3 linked regions of the Astyanax mexicanus genome follow. The protein of the gene in region 2 interacts with the protein of the main gene of each other region in a biochemical or structural test. Links are inferred from orthologs where the notes say so. Each region holds a gene or a part of one and is shown on either strand. Other genes may lie near its edges.

Evidence for each region.
Region 1: the proteins of sntb1 (region 2) and asnsd1 interact in a test that uses a peptide from one of them, tested with the Homo sapiens proteins (2 studies listed by IntAct, with this or other methods). The link is inferred for Astyanax mexicanus from reciprocal best matches to the Homo sapiens genes SNTB1 and ASNSD1.
Region 3: the proteins of sntb1 (region 2) and gucy1a2 interact in a test that uses a peptide from one of them, tested with the Homo sapiens proteins (2 studies listed by IntAct, with this or other methods). The link is inferred for Astyanax mexicanus from reciprocal best matches to the Homo sapiens genes SNTB1 and GUCY1A2.

Annotation. Positions count from the first base shown.
Region 1 is NC_064418.1:43,504,132-43,514,884, reverse strand, and holds asnsd1 (asparagine synthetase domain-containing protein 1), read right to left. Parts: upstream 4,865-10,753; 5' UTR 4,789-4,864; intron 4,205-4,788; 5' UTR 4,128-4,204; coding exon 2,697-4,127; intron 2,387-2,696; coding exon 2,205-2,386; intron 1,172-2,204; coding exon 925-1,171; 3' UTR 754-924; downstream 1-753. Other genes in the region: uncharacterized protein zgc:136439, read left to right, coding at 271-329, 633-753.
Region 2 is NC_064413.1:9,207,571-9,218,072, forward strand, and holds the start of sntb1 (beta-1-syntrophin), read left to right. Parts: upstream 1-5,284; 5' UTR 5,285-5,375; coding exon 5,376-5,570; intron 5,571-10,502. UniProt on the Homo sapiens protein: Adapter protein that binds to and probably organizes the subcellular localization of a variety of membrane proteins. May link various receptors to the actin cytoskeleton and the dystrophin glycoprotein complex.
Region 3 is NC_064425.1:12,485,544-12,496,377, forward strand, and holds the start of gucy1a2 (guanylate cyclase soluble subunit alpha-2), read right to left. Parts: upstream 4,349-10,834; 5' UTR 3,825-4,348; coding exon 3,624-3,824; intron 1-3,623. Other genes in the region: cwf19l2 (CWF19-like protein 2), read right to left, coding at 6,687-6,827, 7,694-7,795, 7,901-7,981, 8,762-8,917, 9,644-9,760, 9,999-10,211. UniProt on the Homo sapiens protein: Has guanylyl cyclase on binding to the beta-1 subunit. Isoform 2 acts as a negative regulator of guanylyl cyclase activity as it forms non-functional heterodimers with the beta subunits.

The sequences.
Region 1 (10,753 bases), on a different chromosome or scaffold from region 2:
ATATTAATAAAATTGCATTTAAAACATTTTAAGAAATCACATCCTTTTTATTTTAGTTAATCAAACTTTTTAAGCATCTGCAGATACCTTGCAATAAACTAAAAGCCTTGTGCTGCATATTTCAAGGGCAAAAAAAACATTTCAGTTCCTGGAAGATTGAAGTTCTTGTTCTAGTGCTCGTTCCTTTTAAGCTGATTCAGTGGAAGATCTTTGCTTGAATGCTGTTTACTTAATTACTTTGCTGCAAACAAATCAACTCTTTTCTCACAGGCTGGGCCAATTGAAGAAAGGGACGCACCAGGAACCTTTCTGTCATGGCTTATACCAAGGTATATTTTAACGTTTCTTGAACCTACCAACATATCCAATATGAGGTGCTTAATCACATTAGTTTCTATGAATATGGTTCATGTTAGAGTAGGTTATTTATTATAAATATGTTGCACTTTATTTTCGGTACATATTTTGTTACACTTATCAAGATCCCGAGTTTGCTTAAGTTAATACATTTTTGTTTCTAATAAAGGTATGAAACTATATACCAAATGAAAAAAGTTCTAAATAAAACTTTAATATACTTTTTGTAGTAGTAGTCACATCCTGGCATTAATCCACCTGTATTTGTTTTTCAGGAGGCCTGTGCACGTCTACAGGATATCTGGACGTTTTGACGTGGGAAATCTTCCATCTTACATAGAATGTGACAAATACTTCAAGGAACAACTTAAAAATCCAGACATTTATTTATTATAGATTTCATTACAATCAGAAACAGATTAAAAACTTCCTGTAAATGAAGAACTGAATGGAGAACAATGGAACCCAAATTCACTGATGACAAGCAGCTTTAGGGGGAAAATATTTTTTTATAAACATGTACAGATTGAGTTTTTGTGTAATAAACATGATTTTTGAAAGCCTGCGCTAACTGGTGACCAGTCTGTTGCATTTATCTGATGCCTTTTCATGGTTGTTCTCCAACTTGGCGATTCTGGAGCCGAACTGCATGGCTCTCTTGGGCAGAACAGCAGAGGGGCCCAGCCCTAGCTCTACAGCGGCCAGTCTCAGCAGCAGCTTCTCCCCGATTCCCCGGGGCAGAGACAGATCTGCCTTCTCCCACACCGGCAGACTGTTCAGGAAGCTCACCACGTCCTCATCCAGATACGGAAATCTGAGAGACACACAAAATACACGCTTATGACATTTCAGAAGCACAGAAATATTAATGATTATGTTCTACACTTCAGATTATTTTGAGTTTGGGGTGGGAGATAAGGATATTTCTGCAAAAAGAATATTCTTGGCAATAAGACAAAACAAAAAGGTGAAAGATTATGTAATGTAAAAAAAAAAAAATCGACCCCAACACTTTGTATTATATTTAGTACATAATGCACACCGGATTATAAAGCACACTATCACACTTTGATATTTTTATACGAAAGGTGCACAGGATTATGAGGAGCATTAAGCGACACTAGTAAGGAACAGGGGTGTCGCCATGTTTCATTTAGCAGCTAATGCTAATAATGCTCCAGCCTTGGAGCTGGAGAAATTTCACTGAAACTCCTTTATAATGCTGTACTTTAGCGGAATGGCTTTACTGCTCCTTAATACCTGACTGGTAGAATTAATACATAATTTTATTTACTGAGCCTTATAGTGTGAAAACATGCAACATATTTATGCAAACAAACAGTTAAACAAAAATAGCATTTAAGCTTCAAAACAAATGCACACAGACCACTTTCAAGACAAAATATCATGTTACTGATTTATGTTTTGTTCCAAAATTATAATGATATTACTGTGTATGATAATCACACACATATTACACATATATATATGTGTGTAATACCTCTTTTTTTAAGAGGAATTCCACACATTTTTCACAAAATGGTTAGAATACAAGTGAAGGCATTAAGAGTGGTTTGCTGTGAAACTTGCCAAGTGAAACTTGTCCACAGTGCAGTCTGAACCAGTGTGATCTGAACCAGATGTTTATTGCTTCGGAAATTACATCACACTAAATTATTGCACGACATGGTTACATATACTATAACTCGTGCCAGAGATCTTTTATTGGACTGTTTTGCAAAAATATTTTGGTCTATAATATATTTTATGGGAAATATGCAGGGTATTGTAAAGAATAATAATTTAAAACCATAATTTAAAAACAAAATCACTGCTGTCAGATTTACCTGGCCTCTTTTCCATGATCTCCAATGATGCGGTCATCACGCCCGAGATTCCTGGAAGATATCCTGCCCAGCTCCATGGCCAGCTCTTTGACCAGGCCTTCAAGACCTGAGTTCTTAAACCGTACTCTGTGTCTGGAATAGCCAGCCAACTGCTCATCTGCTCCAATTCCAGTCAGAACCACCTGCCATATGAAAATTCTTGTATTTTTAAAATTGCAATACACATAGCAGAAAAATAATTATTGCAATGTCTTGCTAATGTTTTTCAAGCCTGCATGCATCCCTAATCCGAACTGTTCCTTTTTGTGTCACAAATTCACATTTAAATAACTAATAAACATGCTCCAATAAGACTTTTTTTTTTCACTTATTTTTTATGTGAAAATTAGGATTTGTTTTTTGTACAGTTGTCATTCTGACAATACAAGGTTTTTGTGCGACATCAACAGGGTTTTACTTTTAACATGTTATGGAAAAATTAACAGCAGCTACCTTTGCATTTGAAGTGTGATCCTTCTCTTCTGCTCCCTCTGATACGATTCCAGTTCCTCTAGCTGCAAACCACACAGCACATCCAATGCTGTCATCCAGGACAGTGTCTAAAGGATGCACCAAGTGGCAGATACGCTTCTCCCGCATTTCCTTCAGCTCCTCCTGAGTGACGTTAATCTCAACAAAGTTCCATTTTCGTGAAGGACTGATCTTTTTAAGCTCTTGTAGACCAGCTCGACCCGTGATTCTGTCTGGAACGTCGAAGCAGTTTGAGGTGCGCTGATCTGATGATGTGATGTCATTCACACTGACATTGACATGCTCGCCGTTGTTCTTGTTCTTGTGTTGTTTCTTTTTGGATCCCTGATTCATTTTACGCTCCTGAAGCTTAAAAGCAACATTGAGAAGGTCGATTGGTTTGTCAGGAGGGATGTGGCGATCAGCGAGAACAGCCAGAATCATCGAATCGATTCCACCAGAGAAGAGTATAGCAACTTGTGCTTCATCTGACTTTGGTGTTTCAGTTGGACTAACATTATCAGTATAGGGCAGTGACTGGACTCTTCTGCGGACGGCCTCACTAAGGACATCTATAAGGCTCCTCACAAGTTCTTGTTTTTTTGTGCTTTTTAGAAGAAACTCTTTTAGGTCATCAGAGGATGTCAGAGAAAATGTGTGATTAGGTTCATCATTAGAATCAACTGCTTGTATGGATGTATTCATTGGATTAACAGGAAAATTGAGCTGGAGTCCAGCATTATTCATAACCAATGAGACAGAACTGGGAAGACCTTCAGAGCTGAAGTCATTTGAAGGCTCATCTCCAAGATAAACCCATGGATAGAGCTCAAGTTTCAACTTCCCACCCTGTGAACAGCTTTTCAAGTCCAACCTGTAAACACCAACTGCTGGTACTTCAAGCCACTTGGACGAATCAGAATCTGGCAAGCGAGAAGACACTGAGGTCAGTGTAAATGAGCCCTCCTCAGACCCACAGCTCCACAGCAGGCTCCTCCTCCCAAAGAAATCCCTTCCAAACCAGATACATTGATTAACTTTACTGTAATAAATAAAGGACCAGGGTCCCTTAACTTGAGAGAGGACAGATAATAAGTCTGAAGGGTTTTTACAAAGAGACAGATGCTGTATAACAACTTTAGTGTCGTTTTCCTCAGCTCCCACTGGTAACCCACCAAACACCTCACCGTTCCAGAGGAGAGTATTACCATCATCATCTTGTAGAGGCTGGGGAGTCAACACTCCCCTCATATGAAGCACATGGCTAGAAAAAAGGCAGCTGTATCGTGAAGCTGTTTCTGTAATATCACGGCTAGAGTGGGGTCCTCTGTTTTGGAGCTTTTCACGCACATGTTTCTGAAGTACACATTGAGAGGACGCACTCAGGTTCACCACACAGCAGATCCCACACATTCTGGCTGGAATACAGCTCTTTTTTTTTTTAAAGGTTTACATATCTTGATAATCCTTCTTCATTTTGTCCAGTTCTTCTGTGGAAAAGGAAAAATGAAACTTGGCATTATGTTCCATTCTGTGTGCTATATACTGTACTGCAATCAACTGTTACTACTTCATTTATGTATGCAACATTAGTGTAAGTACACACATATATTACACTAGGGGTGGGACAATGCATCAATGTCAACGTATTGTATTGTATTGTATCGTATACATAGGATCAAATTTTATTTATTTTTATTTTATTGAAACTCAGACGATTTAAACACCTTAAGACTCGCCCGCCAATTTAATTTACTAAAGTTAGTGCTTCATTCCTCTATGAGGTGGCGCTAATCAGCGTAGAGGATTGTATTGTGATACATCAAGTAACAAAGAATCACAATATCATGACATCATTTTTATCACGAGCAACATATCGTGATAAAATTGTATTGTGAGATGCTCTGCGATTCTCAGCCCTATATAACACTGTGTGTAAATGCGGTTTTCGGTGTATACAAGTATGTATACACTTTTTTTTGTGTATACACAGAGTTTTGATGTATGTTTTGGTATTTCAAATGAAAATGTGATGCTATCTCTACATACAGCTGTAAAAGGATGAAAATCTTACTTTTACAGGAGCTCAAGGTCTCTCCTTTGTCAGACAGGAAGAATATGTTGCTGTTGGGCTGCTGAAGGTAGACTTTCTGTAAAAAAAAAAAAAATGTTGTTCCAGAGAACATATGTTTACTTGGTGCTTAAAAGAAGCCAACATTACATTACATGTTACAGTTGCAGTACATATAATGTATTCCACTTATGCAGGTTTTCTTACCCTGTTTTTCTTCAGATTCGACAGCTCATCAACTAAAACCTTCTGCTCCTTAATCTGCAAAGTGAAATCAGAAGTTCAAAACATACGCCGATATACTGGTGATTTTTTTTTTTATAAACATTGTATTTCAATTTAAATGTCTGAACATTCGTAGGAATTAAAAGTTCAGTACTCTAAAAAATGATCTAACTGCACTAGTCCAGAATAGCCAGAATAGTGAATTTGTTTAAAAACAGAGGTTTCATTAATTTTTTTTATGTAAATGTATGGAGCCCCTAAGGTGACATCATGTATTAAAAAAATGCCCATGCCTTATCCCGTTCCCACGCATTAGGTTCTCATTCCCACACTTTTATAAGTCGTGGGCATTTTGTTTCTCACACCTCCATATAAATGTATTAGTTAATATGCTAATAAATGATAATTATTTAAAATTTCAATATTAAGGTTTACTATAACTATTTCTGGGGTAATTTATCATCTACGTAAAAGTTATCATTGAGTTGACTTGTTGAGCAAGTGATAAATAAACCCTGAAACTTTATAAAGGGATATTTAGTTATGTCATTTGCCTAGACTACACACTCTGGACACAAGTTAGTTAGTTAGTTAGCTAACGCTAGCTAGGCTAAGCTACACCTTCTGGACACTATTTAGATACTTAGTTAGCTAAGCTAGACTACACACTCTGGACACTGGTTAGTTAGTTAGCTAGGCTAGGCTACACACTCTGGACAGTGATTGGTTAGTTAGTTAGTTAGTTAGTTAGTTAGTTAGTTAGTTAGTTAATTAGCTAAGCTAAGCTAAGCTAAGCTAAGCTAGGCTAGGCTAGGCTACACACTCTGGACACTTGTTGATTAGTTAGTTAGTTAGCTAAGCTATGCCAGGCTACAAACTCTGGAACGACACTATTTAGTTAGCTAGGCTGAATGATCTGAAGCACCGTGGTCTGGTTACCCCACCTTGGTGTTGAGCTCCTCTCTGGTCGGGCGCTCCTCCTGTGCTGGGTCCTCGGGCTGCTCGCTGCTCCTGATGGACATTTTAAGCAGAAACGTTCATTAAATGTTTAATAAACAGCAGCATTAGCGCTTAGCCGCATGCTCCCCGCTCTCAGACCCGGCGCGGAGTGCTGACGTGCACGTGTTTACATGATCTGTGCAGGCGGCGCGCGCGGTGTGTACAGCGGCGCCTGGAGGCCGGCGGCGGTACTGCAGTGAGAGACAGACAGATGGGAGGGTTAGATAACAGCAGCACTCAGAGAGAGAGAGACTATAAACATCTCCATAACTCACCTTTCACCCCGAAACTACATTTTCTCATACTCAAGACTTTTAGCATACTTCCCAGTTGTGTTAATCCACCCAATTTCAGTTAAGTTTAAATGCACCAAATGCTCTTATTTATTTAATATACAGCTCCAGTTATCATTTTTGGACGCACATCTTCTCATTCAGTATGTTTTCTTATGATTTTTTTTACATTGTAAATTTAATTATAGAGACTAGATTAAAGCTATACAGGAACACATGCTGAATTATTTAGTAAACAAAACGTTTTAAACAAGCCAGAATATGTTTTATACTTTAGTTTCTTCTAAGTACCACATGTATCTCTGAGGACAGATCTGCAGTGATCTTCAGTGTCTTCATGAGGGAGAGTCACCTGGAATAGTTTCCTCAGCGTCTTGAAGGAGTTCCTGGAGGTGCTGTACAATAGTTGCTGCTTTTCCTTCACACTGTGAAGGTCCAGCCCAAGTTGATCAGGTTTATATTAGGGGATTAATGTGGTGGACAAACACTTTTTAAGTGTTTAATACATAAATTCACCATAGTTCTTCCATAGTTTTGATATGCTCTGTATTTTTTATTTATTTAAAATGTATTATATAAAAAAATTATGTATACGAATTGTAAAATAATATTGAATAAGAAGGTATGTCCAAACTTTTAATTGGTATTGTATGTAATGGCTGTATGTAAAACAGTGGTCTTTGACTTGCATAGAACTGAGAACGCTGTAAAAAAAAACTCTTTTTTTTTCGGGAACTCTATGCACTTTATGGGTTTATTCAGTTGCTCCAGCAGCAGCAGCTCACCCGATTTGTACTTTAATGAAGCTTTGATTAGATAAACTAGGGGCTGGATGGGAACTGGAAATACTGATCTTCTGTGTAACAACCTCTTTAATTCTCCTACATATAAAAATCAGTAGCAGTATTTTATAAATGATATATAGTATGTACTGTAATCTTTTTGGACAAGTAAATTCCCTTGGTGCAGATAATGGACTTCACCCAGCAGCTCCTCAGAGACCTCAGTAGGCCTTTGTATTGTAGTCTACTGTACTCGCACATACACCACTTAAAGAGACTCAACAGAAACAGCCCTCTCCTTATAAACTGGTGATTTGAATACAGAAGCTCCTTTGATTTGTTTGCCTATACTGTGTGGACTCCAGTGTGTGAGTGTGTGAGTGAATGTGTTTGTAATGGTTCAGAGTTCCTTCAGTCCTGTATTTTGTGAAATTCCAGATTCTACATTCATAATAACTCAAACAAGCATTTACTGATTCACTGTGTTTGTCTGTGTGGTCCGCTCCACTCGGCACTATAGCCCCGTTGAGCTTGGTCACTCTTAACAGGCTTAGTGGTTGACCACATGACCTGTGTTTGCTCGTGTGCTGCGGCTTCCAGTGTCACAAACACACGGGTTTGTTTGGCCTCTGTCTCAGTCACTGCCACAGCAGCACATGAACTCTGCAGATTTCTGTATTGACCTGTATTGATTTCTGCGCACCTGTGTAATGTCTCTTTTCGCTTGGATCTCGTCCATATTCAAGAGTTTACTTTGCTCAGATTAGGAGGCCTAATCTCTTCTGGAAGAAACATGATATACCTGGAGGAGTAAACACATGGTAGTGCCAAGCAAACAGATGCAAAAGCAAAGGAGACCGTGTTTAGCGATTTTACATAGAAATAAACTCAAAATAAGCATCAAACACACAGATGTTTAGCATGTTCTTAAACTCTAGATGTAAGAATTTGCAGACTGCTGCAAGCCCAGGCAAGCAGATCACATAAAACTAGAACAAATGACATATGATCCATAAGGTCACGTGACCAAGAAGCACACCAGGAGCCAAATCACTGAGGTACAATGCCATTGGAGAGCAACAAACAGCACAGTCACTGTGTCTGAGTAATTTGTTTTTATTTTTCAGATTTCAGAGGTGACCCTCAGCGTATTTTTAGTCCCCCAGTAGCAGAACCCGACCAGATAATCCGCTCCTTTTCATCTAAAACCACAGCGTAAGGTGTCATTGCATGTAAAGGCGAACAACAAATGATCATGACCACCACACACAATGAGCTATACTCACAGGGTCATTTCTTTTTGTTTAGTGGTTTAGGAAAGGGTAATGGGACTAAACCATCAACCACAAAATAATACCTTATAATTCAACTCACCAGGCCAGTGAGTGTTGAGGCCTACATGTGTGGACACATGAGGGCCGGTGTTCAAATTAGGAGGCGGTAATGATTTCTAGTAGTAGAGGATTCCTGTGATATCTAGAGGTTGATGATTTGTGTTGGACTGTTTTTGGTATATTGCTATAAAATTGCAATCCAATTCATTAGATACTTCACTTATTAGGGGCTTGAGCACAGAATGATTTTTTAGGGTTTTTTTATTATGCTTATTTCCTTTCTGCCTTTAAATGGAACGCACAGACCAAACTGTAAGGCCTAGAGACATGAAACTTGGTCAATTAGTAGCAAGTACAAGATCCCATAATCAAACATTTTTATTGAATAGTAATTTTTTTCTTTTTCATTCAGTCATCACAAACTAAAAATGCCAATAGAGTCATAAATGACTGCCTATTTTTTGCAAATAAGCATAATATGCAAAATCTAATTTGTGAGCTAGTCCTAGGTTTTTCAATAAACACACTGATTCACTTGACTGACGAGTCAGTCAGCATGTTCAGAGGAAAGTGTCGGATCTCCAGGTCTAATACATCAGCCAACTGAAGCCTGTGCCAGTATCACAATAGGAGTAATGTGGGGAGAGAGCACCATCTACCCTCCCAGAGAGAGTATGGCCAATTGTTCTCTCTCTGGCATACCAAATTTCACTAAACTAAACAGCTGGCCCAACTAATCTGAACATTGTGTCATAGCTCAACAGGAAACCTACTGATACTCTAACTCCTATAATTGCAAAACAAATAAAGTTTTCCCCCTTATATCAAATACAGACCTTTTTGATGGTGTTATAAATCTTTTACCAAAAAGTGTCTCATTTTAGCTGACTCCACTCTACTTCACAAATCTGATTTTGGAACTGGGCTGACTGCATTCCAGGTAAAACTTCCAATAATTGTATACTATTTTCAAAATGTTTGCTAAAACCAGTTCGCTATTGATTCCTTTGGATCTTTGTTTTTAATTTTCATCATTTTTTTCATATTTTTTTCTTCCGAACACCCTGAAAACATTTCCACAGATAGAAGTTGGACAGTAGTGTGTGTATGACTGATTTAATGAGACACAAATAGATAGAAATGATAATAACGAATGATCAGGTTTCCACAATCTTTTAGACACTTAGCATATCTATATCATCTTACTTGTGCTTTCGATATTTTCGAATATTTCACGTGATAATATCTGAAAGTCATTGCTTCTCTAAGGCCTTGCTTAGGCAGCATAACTAGGGTGCATTACTCAGCATATAATACAATCAGTGGGGCCTACCTTTCAGGACCGAACCAGTTACTTTTGGAGAAGTGACCAAAAAACAAGGTCCCCAATAATACACAAAAGCAGAAAAGAAACAGGGAAGCATCCCTCATTGCACGAGTTACTGCCATTAGAAAATATATATTTCAACAAATTGAATTTATTGATAGACAGTGGTTCCACATAATTAAATTCAAAATGATTCTAGGTACACAAAATACCCTTCTGTGACAAAAACATTAATAACTAACATATTAGCTATATTATCTATTGCCACCTCTATAACGCCTCATGGCACAAATCTGCATTAGTGCATACTTGGTTACTGTAGCATTCAGCCAACCTAATGTCACAGTACATGGTAACTTGCTCTTATATATAGATTATAATAAAACAATAGGGGATGATAACCTGGAGGGAATGACAAAACTCTGATGGTGAGCAATAGGGAAGAAACACACAGCCACTATGCAAATAGATAGTGCCACAAGCCAATGAGAAAAGTGTGATCTTTACTAATCAAGATTGCACTGTCTAAAAAATAAGGCAAGTAATAAGGAAATTCATTAGCAGTAACCAATGAAATTAGTTGTGGGTGTTGCCATTCCAGATGGTACCACAATACATAAATATATAGTACTCATAGTTTAAATGTAAACATATTACATTGTAGCAACAAGAAACAATAAAGTGTTTTGAAAAGCTCATGTATTTTAATATTTGAGTCAAATTTGCTTTCATGTTTAGATGCAAAACATAACAAGTGTCATACCATAATTTTTTTCTTTATGCAAAACCAGCAGCCACTCAAAACTGAGTGTAGGCATAGACCGCTAGGGCTCTTCCTTGTTAGTAAAATGTTAGAGAGAGAGTAAGTGCAGTGACCTACATAGAAAAGTCCTGGATCTGAATGTGGAGGAATCCAAGCCAAGCTGTTTGGAAATGGCTGTCAGAGCTCCAAAGTTCTGCTGACTAAAGAACTGTTCAATACTACGAGCACTACAGAATAGAAAGCCC
Region 2 (10,502 bases):
ACAGCAAACTAATGTGATTAAATGTGATTTTTTTCATCAATAGTTTATGACCTGAGGAGGATGGGTCCCCCCTGTGAGTCTGGTTCCTCCCAAGGTTTCTTCCTCCAGCTTTGAGGGAGTTTTTCCTTGCCACTGTCGCCTTTGGCTTGCTCACAGGGGGTTTTATAAATAAAGTATTCAGAAGACCAGCCTGGGCACAGTCTTGATAGCTGGGAAAAGCCTGACAGCTAATATAAGAAGAACAAGAACAAGAAGAAATAGAAAAAGATGACTAAGAAGAAGAACAAGAAAAAGCTAATATAATATAAAAGCTAATATAAGAAGAACAAGAAGAAGATCAAGAAGAAGAACAAGAAGAAGAACAAGAAGAAGAACAAGAAAGAACAAGATCAAGAACAAGAAGAAGAACAAGAAAAAGAAGAAGAATGAGACGAAAAAGAAGACTGATTCGGGCCCGTCGTTTTCTGAAGCTACGCAAGCATGACCAAGACTAGACAGGGGTTGAGACTGTAGACAGCAAACTAATGTGATTAAATGTGATTTTTTTTTTCATGAATAGTTTATGACCTGAGGAGGATGGGTCCCCCCTGTGAGTCTGGTTCCTCCCAAGGTTTCTTCCTCCAGATTTGAGGGAGTTTTTCCTTGCCACTGTCGCCTTTGGCTTGCTCACAGGGGGTTTTATAAATAAAGTATTAAGAAGACCAGTCTGGGCACAGTCTTGATAGCTGGAGAAAGCCTGACAGCTAATATAAGAAGAACAAAAAGAAGAACACGAAAAAGAGGACTAAGAAGAAGAACAAGAAGAACAAGAAGAATATCAAGAAGAAGAAATAGACAAAGAGGACTAAGAAGAAGAACAAGAAGAAAAAGAAGAAGAAGAAGACTAATTTGGGCCCGTAATTTTCTGAAGCTACGCAAGCATGACCAAGACTGAACAGGGGTTCAGACTGTAGACAGCAAACTAATGTGATTAAATGTGTTTTTTTTCATCAACAGTTTACGACCTGAGGAGGATGGGTCCCCCCTGTGAGTCTGGTTCCTCCCAAGGTTTCTTCCTCCAGCTTTGAGGGAGATTTTCCTTGCCACTGCCGCCTTTGGCTTGCTCACAGGGGGTTTTATAAATAAAGTATTAAGGAGACCAGCCTGGGCACAGTCTTGATAGCTGGGGAAAGCCTGATAGCTAATATAAGCAATTGATTCTACTGCCCTGAGAGAAGTTTGATAGCGACCACTGGTCATCAGAACTCCAGAACTTCTCTAAAATCTTTTTGACCTCTCTGTTTATTTAAAAATTAATAATAAAAGTGTTTATCAAACAGTATGTAAGTGAATGAGAGTCGTTTTTGTTCCTCATCTTATCAGTAGAATAATGCTGTACATCAATACAAATACTAGACTTTTACTTTTTCAGCATAAACAATGGCGTGCTAATTTTAGAATATGGAAAACACATCTTGGTGTAGTAGTAACTTATTAAACTTTTTTTTAACTCAATATAAACTCAATATAAAAATATCAGTATTGCAAAAAAGTGTTTTTGTGTGCATTATTACAACTAATACAGCAATTAACCCTAAAAAGCCCACATCATTTCTAAAAACAACACATCCCAACAGTTAAGCATTGGAGGGAAGATCATTGATGCTTCAGGCTCCTGGGCTCATGTTTATAAAGCAAAATTAATGGACAGACCTCAAAAACTCATCACTTGCAAGATGGGCCATGAATCAACAAGCTGTTTGCAAAGGACCCCAACCACCCACCACAAACATGAATTGACTAAATAAATGAGTGCTGATCACAGTTTTTTGCTTTTTATATACATCAGACAATTCAAATTTATTCATTTTTTCTGGAAAATAAAATATGTATATCCCTATAACGCCAAACGTATCATATTTGATACATGATTTTTTTGAGCCCTCCAATGAGCAGTGTTACAATTGTTTCCCTAAAAAACTCAATCGATACTATGAGGTACATGCAGTGCACTGATAATTCAGGGGGCATCAGTCATGATAAATAAACAGGACTGAGCTCTTCCAATCACCTTTTCCTTTTGGCAACCACTTATTTAATATATTTTAGTGCCTTCATGAATTAATAAATATATTTCTAAATAAAGTAAAGTTGTTCATGTAAAAAAAGAATAGTTGATTGTTGGTTATTTGTTGGAGTATAGGGGGTATCGCCTTCCCTTGTAACGATGGGAGCAGACGGGAGGCGGACGTAAATGCGGGTAAGACAGACTTTAATAAATAACAAACAAACAAACAAGGTGAAAACGAGAACATATATAAACATAAACAAACAGGAAAAACAAACAAAGAGCTAAGCTGAACAGATAATAAACTAAACAGAGCTAGGGATATAAACAAGGGATAAATACGTAAATATATACAGGTATAAACAAGGAAACAGACAGGAAGTAAACGTGACAGGAAATAAACGTCACAAACAACAAACTAGAAATAAACAAGAGAGTGTAAATACAAATAACCAAGGAACGAGGAATAAGCAAAAACGTGGCGAGACAGACAACATGGGAAGGTGCAAAGACCAACAGCAAACATAGACTAAAAGGGACTATTTATACTAACATGAAACAATGAACACCTGGGGGAAAGGGCGGAGCTACAAATTACAGACACGTGACGGAAAATTACAGGGGAAACACACTGGGAAACGCAGGAACACAGGGAAACAGAGCGAGGGCGTGACTTCCCTGGCATTTTGCTGATATATACAAGACACTGCGGATTGAGGAACAATAAATACCTCCATACCTTTAGAAATAGTAGTTGTTCCATCCATCTGGCACCTACTATCAGAGCTCATTCAAACTTATAATATGATAATTCACATCACCTTGCTCTGAGCACACTGGCCATCTCACACACAAGGTACTACCTCACCCTATACAAGTGTGTGCATTACCAAGACATAATGAAAAATTAATATAATATTATTCCATGATATAATCCATCTTTTTTGCATTTGATAAAGTGCTTGATATTTTTATAAAGGCTCCAGTTTAAAAGAATTGAAATTGTATGTCAATTATTTAATGGTTTGGGCTTTACAGGGATATATATGCTATTTACAAACTCATACAGACAAACGTAATCTAAAGCAATCAATGTCTTCCATTTGAGGTGTCATGTGAAACAGTTCATATTATAATAAATGACCATACAATGTGATCTCACTTAATAGGAGATAGAATTATGGCGAGAGAGAGCGGGGTGTTTGCAAGGGGGGAACATGCAACTAGTCAAATGGCTTGTTGTCTTCACATGAAACGTGAAATCACACCCTTTAACTCAATTTAATCGGTGTAAAAAATAGCATTCATCAGACAAATTGCTTGCCCTAAATAAAAAAAATGCTCAAATGCAGCTAAAATGTCTGTAGCATTCAGTTATAGATTGTTTTGTGGGTTCAGAAACATTCCAAACACTGCTCTCTATCTGCACACCTGTATAAACTACCTCTGCAGAAGTGTTCACATACCCTTCTCATTTAAACGAATAAAATACAAACAAGAAATACATATTTAATACAAATAAAGTTTAATGCAAGTTGAATCAGCCAACCTAAAATTGATATGTACAAAAATATCTATTCTGACTCTGGAGATCAGTCGAGTAAAATGAGTGAGCACCTCCACCAGTGGACATATTACAATATTACAACTGTATACAAATTATGAATATGAATGTAAAATTAAAAGAAATGAAAAAAAAATAATAATAATACATTTACTTACTGCTCTGCACCATATAGAGAGTGACAGTTTAGAGCAGTCCTGCAGTAGCTCTCTAAAGCTTACCTGTAGATATAAAGAAAACAAGTCAATTCTAAAGGTTATTTTTGGCTAGTTCTTAAGCTATATATTTTTTTTCTAATTATTTACACATGCTTCCTCTGATACACGTGAAGTCAGCCACCACTTCTAAGGTTGACTTACTTTAAAGTTTTTTTATTTTACAGTTGTAGACACACAGTCAGCCTCCAGGTGTCGCCAAAGCCTAAAATATACATCTAAAAGGTCTGTAGCCTGCAGTTATAGATTGTTTTGGGGGTTCAGAAACATGACAAACACTGCTCTCTATCTGCACACCTGTAAAACGACTTCTGCAGAAGTGTTCACATACCCTTCTCATTCAGATGGCAGCCAGATAGATAAAATGTAGGTGACCAGTAGCTTAAAATCACATAATTAGATAAATACAATCAAATAATGCAGACGAAGAATATAGATAGATATACAAAAGGTATAAAATCTTTGGTAGAACAGAGCAAAAGTGCAAGTTGTATACAGCATAAAGTGTCTAGGTGCCTATATACATGAATCTATAAATGGAAGTGAGGGATATTTCTGATCTGGTAGTGGAAGGTAGTTTGTTTCTCCATTGGGGAATTCTGTATGAGAACAGTCTGGATTGCTTTGTGTGAATGTTTGGTAAAGTGAGACGACGTTCATTGGAGGAGCGCAGCGGCCGGGAGGTAGCGTAAGCCTTTAGTAGTGACTGCAGGTAGTAAGGAGCTGTTCTGTCATCACCTTCACCTTCCTGGTTTTCGTACAAATGTATCCCATAGGAACGAATGGTAATATGTTCATTATGTTCACATTCGTGTGTGTTTTTCAGCTATATTGTCCAAATGCTTGATGACACCATCAAGCAATACCTAAACAGTGACCTCGCAACAACATAGCAAAACCATAGCATCCACCATGGAAAGTTCTGCATGATTAAAACATCTTTTTTATAATCAAAGTGTGATTATCACCCATACCTTTATATCAAATAAAATAAAAAATAATATTAAAATACGTATGACTAAGTCACACGCCATTTTTTTAAATAGTGGGAAAATCTCTTCATCAGGTCAAGCTCAGGCAGACTACAATTTTTTTTATTATTATTATTTTTTATTATTGTTTTTTTTTTTGCAAACAAACAAAAACAAATGTGGGATTTAAATAAAATGTAAAAGATTACAGATATCAATTGGGTTTATGACATTTTTCTTATTATTTTTATATTCTTTATTTTTTTATTTTTTATATATTTGAAAATCGTATAATTGCATAGGTCCGAATAAACAAATGTTCGGAATGAGGGTATTTACCTACAATCTAGCTTGTATCCAATAAGAGTGGGAGAATGACGAGAGGCGTGGCTCTGGGTGTGGAGAGAAAAACTTTTGTCCAATCAGAGTGTAGGAAGGCGGGGCCGGTGTGAGGGCGGGAGGGGAGTCAGCGCGCGCTGGAGGCTGGAGGTGAGTCAGAGCTCGGGGGAAAGTTTGAGAGAGGGTGAGCGCGAGCTGAGCGCGGCTGGATTATTCGCGCGCGCGGAGATGACTGCGGGATGGCGGTAGCGGCCGCGGGTCCCGCGCAGCGCGCGCACAGGAGCGGGTTCGTGGAGGTGCTCGTGCGCGAGCAGTGGCACCGCGTGTTCGCGAGTTTGGGCGACGAGGCGCTGACCCTGAGCTGTGAGGAGAACGGGCACGCGCACGAGCATGTAAACGGCGAGGCGGATGCGGGGGCGCGCGGCGCGTTCACGGTAAGGTCGGTGTGCGTGTGCGTGCGTGTGCGTGTGTGTGTGTATGAACGGGAACGCGTATTCCTGACGTTAACTACTCTGTTGAGTATTGTAAGTATGTGCACGCACGGAGGGCTGAGCAGGAGTATTAGTACTGCCGAGTAAAGTGGAGTAAAGTTTTTTATTCCGTGAACATTTAATTAAACTCAGACAGGTAAACTCTGGGTGGATTGGTGGATTAAAGGGCGCAGGTAAAAAAAAAAAAAAATACATGTTTTGGTCCAGAGCCTCCCCATGCTGACTGAAGTGGGGTGCCCAAACTTTTGACCAAGATATGGTTTATTCCAAAGCTTTTTCATGCACAAACTGTACTGAAAAGGTGTGGAAACTATTAATGTTACCGTTCATTACTCTGTAGGTAGAAGTATAGATACTAGAGTTTTAATAACTTCTGTAGGAGTAAAGTATCAACTTAAGCTTTTTACCCAAGTAAGAGTACTGTTTTCAAAACTACTTAAAGTATAAAAGTAAAAGTAATGTAGGGTGAAGAAATACCATTAAGGAAAAAGCCACAGGGTCCTATAGTGCACATTTTCTAGGGGTGTGAGGAGACACTAATATCACGAGACGAGACGGGACACGATATTGGGTTCACGAGAACAAGACGAGATTTAAAAATGAAATTTTAAAGAAAATGTCAAAAATGAAAAATGGCTTGAAAACGTTTATTTGACAAAATTATATAACGCAAACTTAACAGACTCTCACACACTGATTCTATAAGAAATATAAATAAGAATAAAAAATAAAAAGAAAACTTTTCTAGGTCTTATATAGTGCAAACAATAAGTGCAAACCACAACCAGTCATATTAAGCCTATGGTTTGTGTTTTTTCTCCTAAATCTCTTGTAATTTAACTATGCATAACCACAACCAGCCATATTAAGACTATGCTTGAAGTGCAAACAGATATACAGTACAGAGCTAAGGGATTAGTACAGCTGCCTATGAAACAGTCACGTGTAGGATTTACTTACAGTATTTATATATGGTTTGTGTCTTGTTTATTGTTTCCACTGGAGCCGAAATGCAGCCAGATATACAACTTAAAAGTAGCAGCAGCATCTTCTATACAAACGCCCAAATTTTCCTCTTCTGCTAAGAGCTGCTCTCGCTGCTCAGCCATCATACTCTATTGCTATCGCTACTGAGTTGCCAGATCCCTCTTAAAAAGTCCACACTTAACTGTTTTTTTGCCCCGCGAGACAGTTTTAAGCCTGACGAGAAATCTCGTCCGTTTTAATCTTGCGAGATCTCATGCCACCCCTAACATTTTCTAAAGGCCATAATGACTATAATGTTATATTAAAATATTAAAGTTGATAGATTTGGGTAGTAGATTTGCAGTAGACTCCCTGTTTTAGTTGCATATATGCTCATTGAAAATGAATGTATTTGATACAATGCAAATATATTAAAGAAGCCTGGTTAGATGTTTGGCTTGTGTTCTGTTGAGTCTCTGCACGGATCATCTTTACACTAGACTACATGTGTCTGCTGTGTTCTTGCTGGAGTGTGACGTGATAGATTGCGAATAAACCAATAAGTTGTTGGAATGGTATGTTTTTATGCTTTTTTCATTCAACCATATTCAAATTCACTTTATCCAGATGGGACTTTTATCCCATTTTCTCCCCAATTTACAAGGCCAATTACTCAACCCACTCAGTAGGATTCCCCCTATTACTAGAGATGCTCCAACACACCAGGAGGGTGAAGACTAGCACATACCCCCTCCGATACATGTGAGGTCAGCTACCGCCTCTTTTCAAACTCCTGCTGATGTAGCATTGTCGAGTAGCATCACAGCGAGCTCGGAGATAAGTGCAGCGACATGGTTGCTATACATTACAGCTCTCAGACGCCTTGTGCTGACCTTTTGGAGTTATGTGGGGGGAGAGCCCCCTAGAGAGCAAGGCCAATTGTGCTCTCTCAGGGCTCCAGCAGCTGATGGCAAGCTACATAAACGGGATACGAACCAGCAAATCCCGATCATAGTGGCAGCTCCTTTGTCTGCTGCACCACTCAGAGCCCCTGGATGGAGAGATTGATCTGGATAGGTTTTTTTTTTTTTTACAGTGAGAAAGCGGGATGAAAACAAGCTGAAATGAAATAGGAGTATCATGTCTATTTTAAAACATGAAAAATAATAATTACTCCAGTAAAGTATAGATAACCCAAATTTCTTTTTAAGTAAGGTAACAAATATTTGTACTTTATAATTTGAAACCTCTGTCTGTTCTAGAGTGTTTGCTGACATGAGGTACCCAAACTTTTGCCACGAAGCTGGTTGGTCCAATATTTCCGCCATGTAAAATGGAAAATACTGGAGAGCTCGCTGACTTGTGCCTTGAATGCTGATTTATTTGAAACTCCTCCATATACATGCTGTACACAAGAGCAGTGAACAGAAAGAGTGCTGCACGTGTTCTGCAAATCTATCAGACGATTTTATAAAAAACAACATCCAAGATTTAAAACTGTGTGATGAATTTTATGATTCCGCCAAATTAGATTTTTGTACCTTAATATATTTGGCAGCTACAGATGTTTAAAATTTGGGTCCAAAATTTCTGAACGCACTTAGTGGACTGCTCTGTGTTGCCAACACCTAAACTATGTGTACTGGCGAAACACTAATTTAAGTTAACACACTTTTTACATCAATATAATATTTTTTTGACATGGAAAATACTGCTTACATATGCTGTGCATATACTGCACACATGGTAATGTTTACATTGGAACAATTACATTTAGGCCTGTCACGATAACAATATTTTCAGGACGATATATTGTCCCAGAAATTATTGCGATAAACGATAATATTGTCTTTTTAAGGCACCACTATAGAATTTTTTTTCCTGCTTCTGGGCTCCCAAAGGTGCTTAAAGACAATGTGCCACACTAATAAAATACTAGCATAATACTATTACACCATTTTACAGTTAAACTAACTTTATATTATTTAGAGCAGACATTAGGCTCCCAATATAAAAATATTTTAATATTGTAAATAACTAAAACAAATAAAGTACAACCACCTGTACAACCACCCTGGCTTCTGAAAAACTGCACTAAATATTAAACAGACCCTTATTCAAAAAATAAAGTAACAACAAATAGATTAAAGTAACATTTACATTAATTATTTTTTATAAAACTCTGAACACATGGGCCCTTTTTCTGATTATATATGTTTAATATGCTGTAAAACACACATTAGCTTAGTCCATATGATCGAAGACAAACAGATATCTCAGCAGACCAGAGCTCTTGCTATAAATGTATTTTTTAATGTAACTGTCAGACAAATTCTGAGCAAAAAACACCAGCATGTTTAGCGTGTGGGGCTTGAGGCAGGATCTCTCTGGAGAAACAATTTTTATATTCAGTATTCAGCTGGATTAATTGGGCTGGATGGTTGTGTTTTAAATAAGATCTCCGGTATTACCAGCTTTTGTTTCCATTGCTGTGAAACCTTGTAAACATACCAGCTGAATCGCGCTGATGGTTCTCCTCGCTCATTTGGCTTAAAGCCAAAATACTCCCAAAATACTCCCGCACTGGAGCCACGGAATACGGCTTTAAAACTTCCTCAAAGGTTCTCTAAAGCTGTTTAGTTTTGAGAAAGTCCAATTACCGTACGATAAGTCGATAACATAGTTATCACAACAGGCCTAATTACATTACAACCAACATAAACATGAAGAAAGGGCAAATTGTGTAATAAGTGTAAAATCAAATATACTTCAGCTAACTACTGTTTACTATTAGTAAGATGTTTTTCTAATTTTGTCATTTATAAAGAATCCAACCTGTAAATTAGCACATACCTTCCTCTTCCTCTCTCTCTCTCTCTCTCTCTCTCTCCTTTCTTTTCTGGTTTCATGATGGCTGAAGTTTCATATTTTGCCAGCTGCGGGAATCACAAACCTGGCTGGCTGGCAGGCTGCTGTCAGCAACAAGTGGGAGGGGCCCCTTTGAGGGGGATTCTGATTAGAATGTCATTGGACTTTCCTGCATTGATCATCACAGAATTAAAGGCGGGCCCACAGAGTTTGTCATTGCTTTCAGAGCAGCTAATGCCCTAATGGATTGGTTTGCTTGCCTTGTTGTTACGGGCCTGAGTGCAGTAATGCTTTACTGTTGCAATCTCTGCCCGTTTAACCACCATCACATTCACTTCAGGTCGGCCTTTACTGCTTTTATAAATGAGCTGCGAATTTTGGCACAAAGCTAGTTGTTTAATATATCCTCCATGTAAAAGAGAAAGTACTGAAGAGCTCGCTGACTTGTTTGGTGCCAGAACCTTTGCCTAGAATGCTGGTTCATCTAAAACTCCTACATATACATGCTGTCCTGGAGAGCAAAAAACTTTGTCCAAATTTTAAAACTGTGTGATGAGTTTAAAGTTATGAGGAGTTTTCAGGTTGCTATTAAAATGAAATGATTTTAAAAATCAGCTGTTACTCGGGGCAGAACATTTTGCCTCGTTTTAGACGATGTGGATGAACTCTCACACACTGGAGTTCTCAGGAGACTCAGCTCTTACCAAAACTCTGAAAAATTCCTGACTGAGAACTCTGGATATACTAAGTTTCTGTCATTCACACATTAAAGCCCAATAGAGGGTAAACATTTGATATCACCACTGTCAGGAGTCACTGTCCTCATGCTGACTAAGTGTCAAAAATAAAGACTGTTACAGATGGAAAACACTAAAACCAGCAGGGCCGTGGTGAATCAGATCAAATTTAATTATGCAGCACTTTTTACAACTGATGTTGCAAAGCAGCTTCATAGAAACCTGGTAGCAAGACAGAGAGAATCAGACAAAAACATAAAATATAGACTATAGAACACAGCACCCCCAAAAACTGTGAGGAACA
Region 3 (10,834 bases), on a different chromosome or scaffold from region 2:
ATAAATAAAAAAAAATTGAGTTATTCATTTATGTTTTAGTATGTGAAGTATTAACATTTTAGGTCCTATTTCTGCAATATGTTTTTTTTCTTAGCAAAATTATATCTGCTCAAGAAATAAAATATTAAAGAATAAAATGTAAAAACTGATTAGACAGTTGTTTGTGTTGATTAAATTGAATGTGTTAAATTAGGGTTACAACACTTTAGTTGTTAATTTCTGAATAACTACGCTAGCTTCTGGAAAGCAGTGGCTCAGTAATTAGAGCACTGGACCATTGATGACCATGTTAAGGGTTTGACACCTGGGTTTGGTCTGCCACAAATACATCTTCCCGTTTCTTAAATGCATTTAAAATCAAACTCTCTTGTGTTTTAACTCCTGTAACCTCAGAAGTATCTTGTGTCTCATTTTTGTCTAATGCCTTTTCTCTAAGATTTAAGCAAAACAATTTTTCTGTAGAAGTATGTTGGTGTTGCCATCATCGTAACTGGTAGAGAGAGTGTTCAGTGTGATGCTTGCTCGCCCCTTGAAGAATTATTGTGTGCTAAGATGCTTTTGGAAATTCCAGCGCTGATTTGTTGGAAACGCTCAATGAATCAAATGAGTCAGATTAGTACAGAAAATGGGAGGACTTGACTTTTACAGCATGTAGGAGCAGTTCTACATGTCTCTTTGCACTCATGCACACACACACTGACATATGCACGTACACACGCTCAAAAACCAGAACACACATAAACACTGAGTGCATGGAAAGGTCAAACTCTGATTTAATGCAGAAACATTCTTAGTCTTCCTCTCTTTCTCACTCACACACACACAGGCACACACACACACAGGCACAGGCACAGGCACACATACACAGGAACACATGGTGCAGATTTAACATGCAGGCAGTGTGTTTTGAAGGATAAGCAGAGATAAGCTCACAAACAGACAGACGGACACAGACAGAGGCGCTGACTCATAAAAATTATATAAAACTGTGTGTGTGTGTGTGTGTGTGTGTGTGGCCGGCGGGCCAGGCTGCAGTGTGTTTCATGGTTGGTTAGAGAGCATCTAGTGAGATGGTAGAGGTCAGAAGAGAGAGAGATCCACATCCACATTCACACACAGACACACACACACACACACACACTCACACATACACATACACATTCTCTCTCTCTCACACACACACACACACACACACACACACACACACACACACAAACACACAGCAATGCATGCAGGTGATGTATAAATCAGCCCATATTCCTCCACAGACCACCACACCAGTCTGCAGCAAATACACTAACATAACACACTCATACACTAAAGAACACTATTAAAAGTTCAGAACCACCACCTTAACTAAAGAACCCTCATAGAACAATTATAAGAGTATCCATCACCTTTACTATGGAACCCTCATATAACACATTTAGCCTTATAAAGCTGCTTCAATTCCACTCTAATACGCTCATCTCTACGGTTATGTACACGATTTGTTTAATTGGCCAGGGGTAACAGTACTCATCTTCCCTACACTTCACTCACACTCCTATACACTTCTCACTATACTGCACTCCTCACACTAGTATACACTTCTCACTACATTTCACTCCTCACACTACTATACACTTCTCACTATACTGCACTCCTCACACTACTATACACTTCTCACTACATTTCACTCCTCACACTACTATACACTTCTGACTACACTACACTCCTCACACTACTATACACTTCTCACTATACTGCACTCCTCGCACTACTATACACTTCTGACTACACTACACTCCTCACACTACTATACACTTCTCACTACATTTCACTCCTCACACTACTATACACTTCTGACTACACTACACTCCTCACACTACTATACACTTCTCACTATACTGCACTCCTCGCACTACTATACACTTTTGACTACACTACACTCCTCACACTACTATACACTTCTCACTACACTGCACTCTTCACACTACTATACACTTCTCACTACACTGCACTCTTCACAATCCTCACTAGTCATATATATAGTGCTCACAATCCTCACTAGTGATATTTCTATAAACTCCTCTACACTACTGCACACACAACTGCTTTTCAGAATTCACTCTTCTCTACATTTCTAACACTACATTTCATATTTATCTATATACTCATCTAGTTTTTACAATCGTTTAAACTACCCACACTACTGTACACTCATCTGCTTTTCAGAATTCACTCTTCTGTACTCTTTTCACTAATACTCTTTATTCTCAGCTACACTTTCTACACTCCTCGACACAAATCAACACTACCGGTAATTCTACACTACCGAATACTCCTCACAGTCCTCAACACTAATCACCACTTATTTAAACTACTGAAAAGTCCTCACACTCCTTCACACTAATTTACACTATTGAAAACTCCTCACACTCCTCCACACTAAATGACACTCATTTACACTATTGAAAACTCCTTACACTCCTCAACACTAATCAACACTCATCTACTCTACTGTACACTCCCCTCTACACTCCTCACACTAATCTACACTTCTGTACACTGCTTTAAACTTTTTCCACACCTCACATTAATGTGCACTCCTTTACACTCTTCCCCCTACTGTGCACTCCTCACCCTACTCTACACTCTTCTTCACTCATCTGAACTACTCTAAACTCTCCTATATTCCTTACATTACTATAAACTCTTCTACACTTCTCACACTACTCTACACTCCTCACAGTACTCCCCTATCCTTACATTACTTTAAACTCTTTTACACTTTGCACACTACTCTACACTCCTCACAATACTCTATATTCCCCTACATTCCTTACATTACTCTAAACTCTTCTACACTTCTCCCCTACACTCCTTATACTACTCTACACTTGTCTACACTCATTACAATACTCTACACTCCCCTACACTCCTTACACTACTCTAAACTCCTCACAATGCTCTACAGTCCCCTACACTTCGTACACTACTCTAAACCCTTCTACACTTGTCACACTACTCTACACCCCCCCCACACACACACATACCTAGCATATATACACAGTGCATAAAACTCACAAACACACACACACTTATCTCCTGTACTGTTTGTCTCTCATGAACACACTCATTCTACAACATAAACATTCACACTTCGAATGTCAGACAGAGTGCTCCACTGCAGAGCTGAATCCAGTCTTCCTCTAAGACAGCGGAGTGTAGAGGAGGCGAGACAGGAGGATTGGGACACAACCCGACTTCATCTGCACACTTGAAAGCTGCAGACTGTGGACTTGTATGACATGTAGTGTACACTACACAGGGAGCACGGAGATGCCATACACACACACTCACAGACACACACAGACATAGGTTTAAACACACACGCCCAGACTCTAGCACGCACACAAAGGTTCGAACACACTGACACACATGCGCACATTTTCACATACACACACACACACACACATTCCACACACAGACAAAGACACACACATTTCCACACACAAACACACTGACACATACACACATTTCCACACACAAACACAATGACACGCACACATTTCCACACACAAACACACATTTCCACACAAGCACACACACGCACACTGACAGACTCGCTCGTGCGTTACCGTGGGTGATGTCAGTCTCCTCAGACTCTCCCCCAGTGAGTCCAGGTTCACGCGCCTCCTGCGCCGGGGCGCCGCGCGCACAGGGCTGCGTCCGTTCCAGAGCGCGAGCGGGCAGTCCGGCCAGTCCGCGCGCTCAGGGCTCTCCACGCACTCCGAGCTCGCGGAGCTAAACGACTCGGACGAGACCTTCCGCGTGGACATGCTGCGGGGGTCACGCGCTCATCTCACGCAACGCAACGCACGCGGCGGCTCCGGGGTCTTGCGCGCGCGGTCCGTCGTTGTGTTATGTCGTGGCTCGCGCACTGGCCGGTCCCGCATCACGGACGCGCGCGCGGGCTTTCATCCACACGCACGCACGAGGATCAGAGAGAGAGAGAAAAGCGGCGCGAGGTTCCCTACAGCAGCATCAGCAGCAGCGCGAGATACTGACCCCTCCCACTCCTAAAGAAAGAGAGAGAGAGAGAGAGAGAGAAATGGAGAGAGAGAAATGGAGAGAGCTATAGATACAGAGGGAGACAGACAGAAAATAAAGAGACTGAGTCTGAGAGAGAGACAAACAAAGAGAAAGAAAGAAAAGGAGAGAGAGATATACAGAGGGAGACTCAGAGAGAGACTGAGACTGAGAAAAAGAGAGAACGAAATAGAGAGAGATACAGAGGGAGACCTTAAGAGGAATAGAGAAAGACTGAAAGAAAGGGAGGAATAGATATAGATATAGAGATAAAGTTCGTGTAAAGACTGAGAGAGAGACTGAAAGTCAAAGTGAGAGAAAGAAGGTCAGTCAGTGTGAGACGTTTCTCAGGCTGAATGGATGAAGCTAAACTGCTGTAGGATGAATGGGTGGAGCTAAACTGCTGTAGGCTGAATGAGTGGAGCTAAACTGCAGTAAGCTGAATGGGTGGAGCTAAACTGCTGTAGGTTGAATGGGTGGAGCTAAACTGCTGTAGGTTGAATGGGTGGAGCTAAACTGCTGTAGGTTGAATGGGTGGAGCTAAACTGCTGTAGGCTGAATAAGTGGAGCTAAACTGCTGTAGGCTGAATGGGTGGAGCTAAACTGCTGTAGGCTGAATGGGTGGAGCGAAATTGCTGTAGGCTGAATGGGTGGAGCTAAACTGCTATAGGCTGAATGGGTGGAGCGAAATTGCTGTAGGCTGAATGGGTGGAGCTAAACTGCTGTAGGCTGAATGGGTGGGGCTAAACTGCTGCAGGCTGAATGGGTGGAGCTAAACTGCTGCAGGCTGAATGGGTGGGGCTAAACTGTTGTAGGCTGAATGGGTGGAGCTAAACTGCAGTAGGCTGAATGGGTGGGGCTAAACTGCTGCAGGCTGAATGGGTGGAGCAAAATTGCTGTAGGCTGAATGGGTGGAGCTAAACTGCTGTAGACTAAATAGGTGGGGCTAAACAGCTGTAGGCTGAATGGGTGGAGCTAAACTGTTGTATGACAAAGGGCAGGGATGCACTTCTCTGTAATAAAAGAGGAAGGCTATATATAGGCTATTATTAATGCTTTGACAGCATTTGACAAAAACCCTGCACCGAGACTGTATATGCTGAAAATAGAGGAAAAACATGGGGATAGTCAGAGTTGATAGTCAGGTCATGTTAGCAGTGTGTAGGGTGTGTGTGTGTGTGTGTTGCCTTTAGGTCATTTTTTTCTTCATCACCTCCCCTCCTCCCCTTGCATCTCTCTGCTCCTGATGCTGACCCACTTTCTCCCAGCCTCACTGTACACACACACACACACACACACACACAACCATATGAACAGACTACTCTGTCTGTGCAGATAAACACTCACTGGCTACTTTTTCAGAAACCTTTCTCTTATTGCTTTACATGCACAGCTAGAGACAAGGTAGGTATTTCCAATAAACTGGCCAGTGAGCCATGACACCACCTTTGTGCATTCGTAGGTGTGGTATGAGTGAGCGTGTGCATGTATGTGTGTGTGTCAGGCAGAATTGTATCTTACAAAGGATGCTGATATCATGAATCAATCACCTTCATAATACTTGGCTGTGTGTGTGCGGCTTAAGGAACAGCACAGTCAATAAATCCATACATCATGATGTCTGTGTGTGCACATGCTAATTAATGATACTCCACCACCTGTTTACTCTGACCTTTACAATCACCCTGACTCATCACCCAAACCAATCATCAACCATCAGTAAATGCAGCATTTTGTTTGGAAATCAAGGGACCAGAGTCTGGAGGAAGAGTGGAGAGACACACAGTCCAAACTGCTTGAGGTCTAGTGGGAAGTTTCCACAATTAGTGATGGTTTAGAGAGACAGGTCATCTGCTGGTGTTGCTCCACTGTGTTATATCAAGTCCAAAGTCAGTGCACTGTTTTCCTGAAAAATCTTACAGCACTTCATGCTTCCCTCTGCTGACAACTTCTATAGAGATTTCACTTTCCAGCAGGACTTGGCACGCTGCCCACTATGCCAAAAGTACGAATTGGTCTTATATATTATTAAAATTTTCTGAGACACTTTGGGTTTTCATTGGCAAAATCAAGTAAAGTCAAATCTATACAATATATAGGTTTCACATTTTGAACTGAATTAATGAAATTAAGTAATTTTTCAATGATATTCTATTTTTAGATGCATTAGTATATTAGCCTTAATAGTGTGTGTTACTATACAAGGTACATGTGAGTCTTGGTTCCTCCTCCAGCTCTGATTGAGTTTTTCCTTGCCTCTGTTGCTCACTGGAGGTTCTGTATTGTATGTTTAATGTTTTGTCTGATTCTCTGTCCTACATTTACATTTCTGTAAAGCTGCTTTGCGATATCATCAGTTGTTAAAAGCAATAAATATATATATATTTGATTTAAACAGTGACCCTGCATAACAACAATAACACTGTGAGGTGTTTAAAATGAAGATGCAAAAGAACAATAATTTAGGAGCTATAAGAACACTTTAATTATAAAATCATTTTATCACATTACATCAGCACATGGCAACAGGAGGATCTCTGTAAAACAATATAACTCGAGAGTAATGGTGTGATTTAACTTTAACTGAACCAAGCACAGTTGGTGGGAAGCATCTAGTTGTCAGTCTTGGTGCAGTCAAATGGTTTCCACCACTGAGAGAACTCCAGGACCTTCTTCCTCTGATCATCAAAGTTCTCTCGGATTGGTTTTCTCCAGCGCCGAGGCTCCAGGTCCAACATTCCACCCAGAATCTCCTGCAGGATAACGCAGCAGTCAGACATACTGTGTATGTAGGGATTTAATGTATGTAAAAAATAAAAAATAAAATAATAATAATTTTGTTATTTTTCAATATATACACCAGATCTTTCTTTAATTATGCATTCTATTGATCAGACACAAACTATATTGTTCGGATCACTGCAAAATATTGGAACAGTGGGAATTTCATTTTGCATCAACAGAAGGTTGTTGCAAGGTGCATCATTTATTGACCAAATTTTTGCATTTATTGCAATAGTTTGGGCACAGCTCTTCTCCTTCAATGTTTTTTTATAATTTTTTACATTGTAAATTTAATATGGAAGACTATATTAAAGCTCTGTAAACAAAAAAAGTGTTAAACCAGGATTTGTTTTATACATTTGATTTTTCTAAGTAGCACATTTATCTTTGAAGACAGATCTGCACACTCCAGTTTTTTTAATCTCAGTGTCTTCATGAGGGAGAGTCACCTGGAATAGTTTTCTCAGCGTCTTGAAGGAGTTTCTGAGATGCTGAACAATAGTTGCTGCTTTTCCTTCATGCTGTGAAGCTCCAGCTAATCCCCAATCACCTCAAATCAACATCTCAGTTGATAAGGGTTAGATCAGGGGATTGTGGATGATAAACACTTTTACTGTTTACTATGTAATTCTATATGTGTCCCTTTCTAATATTAATCTACAATTTATAAAATAAATAAATACAGAAAAACACTGAATGAGAAGGTGTCCAAACTTTTGACTGGTACTCTAGATGACATTGCACAATGTGCCCATTGCAGTGACTATGCTTAAACTATATATTGTGCAGTCCTTGTATGTATATAATGGTTTGTGCGTGCATGCGTGAGACAGACCTTCCCAAAGTAGTGAGGAAACTTCTGCTCATTCTCAATGACGTGGGCGAATCCTCCCTGCAGACCAAAATCTACTGAGAAATATGGCAAACCACGAGGAACCTGCACAGAGAGAGAGAGAGAGAAGAGACTGTCAGACGAGAAAAAAAAACCAGATAGAACTAAAGAAAAGGTAGAAAAAATTATAGAAAAAGAAAGAGCTCTCACAGACTGTCTGATGTTTTTGGAGGACAAGTCCACCACTTTCTTATTCATCGCCCACTCCTCATCAGCTTCCAATAGAGCTTTCTGTAAACAAACACATATATATACACAATAATATTAAACACATTTATGCTTATTTGTAGTACTGATGTGTGTAAATAAGAATAAATTAATCCACATCCAAGACTGGGCTCATTATCGCTGCCTTGCTTTCACATGTAAGAACTTTCCCGAAACTTTTCCCAATAGCACAATTCCACAAAGTCACTTTCTATGTATAGGATCGTAGGATTTGTATTGGATATGTCTCTCCAAACCATCACTGATTATAAAAACTTCACACTAGACCTCAAGCAGTTTGTACTGTGTGCTTCTCCACTCTTCCTCCAGACTCTGCTCCCTTGATTTCCAAATGACATCCAAAATTTACTGATGATCAGTGACGGTTTGGAGAGACATGCCATCTGCTGGTGTTGGTCCACTGTGTTATATCAAATTCAAAGTCAGTGCAGTGTTTTCCCTGAAAATCTTACAGCACCTAATGCTTCCCTCTGCTGACAACTTTTATAGAGATGCGGATTTCATTTTCCAGCAGGACTGACTATTGTCAGTATCCGCACTCACTCTACAAAGCTGAGGTTATTACAATACCCTCGCTCCAGTCCTGTCACAGTGTGGGTTTATTAGGCATTAGATATTATTATATCTACAGATGAAAAAGGAAGCAACACTCTAAGTTCAAGCATCATATTACAAAATTAACCACAGTTGCAGGTTTAAAAGCAGCTTTCACAGACCCAACATAACAAACCAGCGGAGAAAGCACACCCAGGTGCTAGTCAAAAAAGGCTCAAAGAAACAGACCTTAAAATAAACAGGTGCCATGTCTCCCAGTTCTCGTGGCAGTGGAACACACTCGTACAGCAGGTGCAGGCGCCTTTTTGGATTCATGTGCGTCTCTAAAAACACACAGTCCAGATCCTGAGCCTCGAACACTCGCACTAGTGCCCGGCGGAACACCTGCAACACAATAACACCACAAACAACAGGTAAACAGCAGACACAGCCACTGAGGGAAGCTGGAGAAGTCCTGTTATACAGTCAGTGTATGGAGACGTGAGCTCTGAGTGAAGATACAGTGCTGGATTAGGTTGCATTTATACTGCTCCGCAATAAATCCCATTCATTTTCATTGGGAAAAATCAGTTTCTTCAAACACAGCCGAGCTAATGTTAAATCGAGAGAACTATATGCAAATGAACACGTCCAACACAATAAGTCCATCCAATCAGAAAAGGGCAGGGGCCTCAGATCTGAAAACTTCTGTATGCACAAAACAATCATTTCTTGTTTGCAATTTCAATGCATCGCCCTTAAGTGTTACTAAAACACACTAAAAACGCATGTATGAAATGAAACTGAAATGAACACTCACATTCAAATCACATTTAGTGCATCTGAGGGTGAGATGAAATGTGGCCTACGCAATGTTTTTGTACGTACGCAGACCCCATGTGATTGCTGGATTTATATTGTCATTTATATTTATTTGTTATGTGAAGCGTAAAGGATAATAATAAATGCCATTTCAGGTTTCCTGTCCTATATGATCTATCCCTTCCAAATAACAGAGACTTTTACTACAAATATTATTATGATGGAGTGTGTGTGTATATATATATATATATATATATATATATATATATATATATATATATATATATATATATATATATATATATGTACCTGCATTTCGCTCCACACATCCTCGTCCAGCCCAGTAGAGCAGCAGTGGTGCTGCAGTGGGGCGATCACACAGTGACCCTCTGTCAGAGACACACAGTTCGGCATACTCAGATACACCTAAACACACAGAAGGAGAAAAAGAAAAGTGTATGTGTATGTATGCTCTCTGGGACTCCATGTCACTGAAGGATGGCTGTGGCATCATTTGGGATTGGACCTACTGTACGATCTCCTGATGACAGAGCAGACACTTAGACACGTACTCCTCTCAGTGTTGGGAATGTGATTAAAACTCTGGGCTGGACACTAATTTAATATACTATATCCAATCAATGAAGGCTCTCGAAGTGTGTACCTTCGATCCTATAGCGATGATGAGGTGTTTAGGCAGCTCCGGGCTGGTGAAGCAGTAGGGGCATTTCTCCAGACGTCCAGCAAGTCTGCGCGCCTCCTCCTTCGCCCTGCTGCGCTGACGATCTTCATCCAGCCCTGCCCGCTCCTTCTGAGCAGCACTTGACACAAACATGTCGTCCAGTGTGTAGTTGTCACCATCCTGCTTCCCCATCATCTGCACAGAGAGAGAGAGAGAATACACTGACTTGCTATAATGGTGCATTTTTAGGATGGACAAAAAAGGCCTAGTCACAACAGGACTTACACTACTTAACCCTTTAAATCACTACATAATCACTACACAACACCTACAGTCACCATAGCATCCCCAGTCACAATATTACCCCAGAGTTATTCCAACATTATGTTGTAATGATACACCTACAGTCATTAGAGGCACTACAGTCACTATACTATTGTCATTACCCCACCCCTAACATCACTAGACCACCCCTACAGTCTTTACAGTCACTGTCATTGTCACTACGTCACCACTACAGTCACTATACTCTTGCTACACCATCCCTTCAATCACTGTATTAAACACACTACCCCTGTTATCACTAGACACTACTCTCACAACACCACACACAATGTCACTACATTACTACATTAGACACTATACGCCCGCTACTTCACCCCTACAGTCACTATATTGTTATTACACCACCCCTAACATCATTACCCCATCACTACACCCTACAATGTATACGGTCACTGTCTTGTCAATACACCACCGCTATAGTCACTATACTTTCATTACAGCATACCTACTAACTATTAACTGTATTAAATACA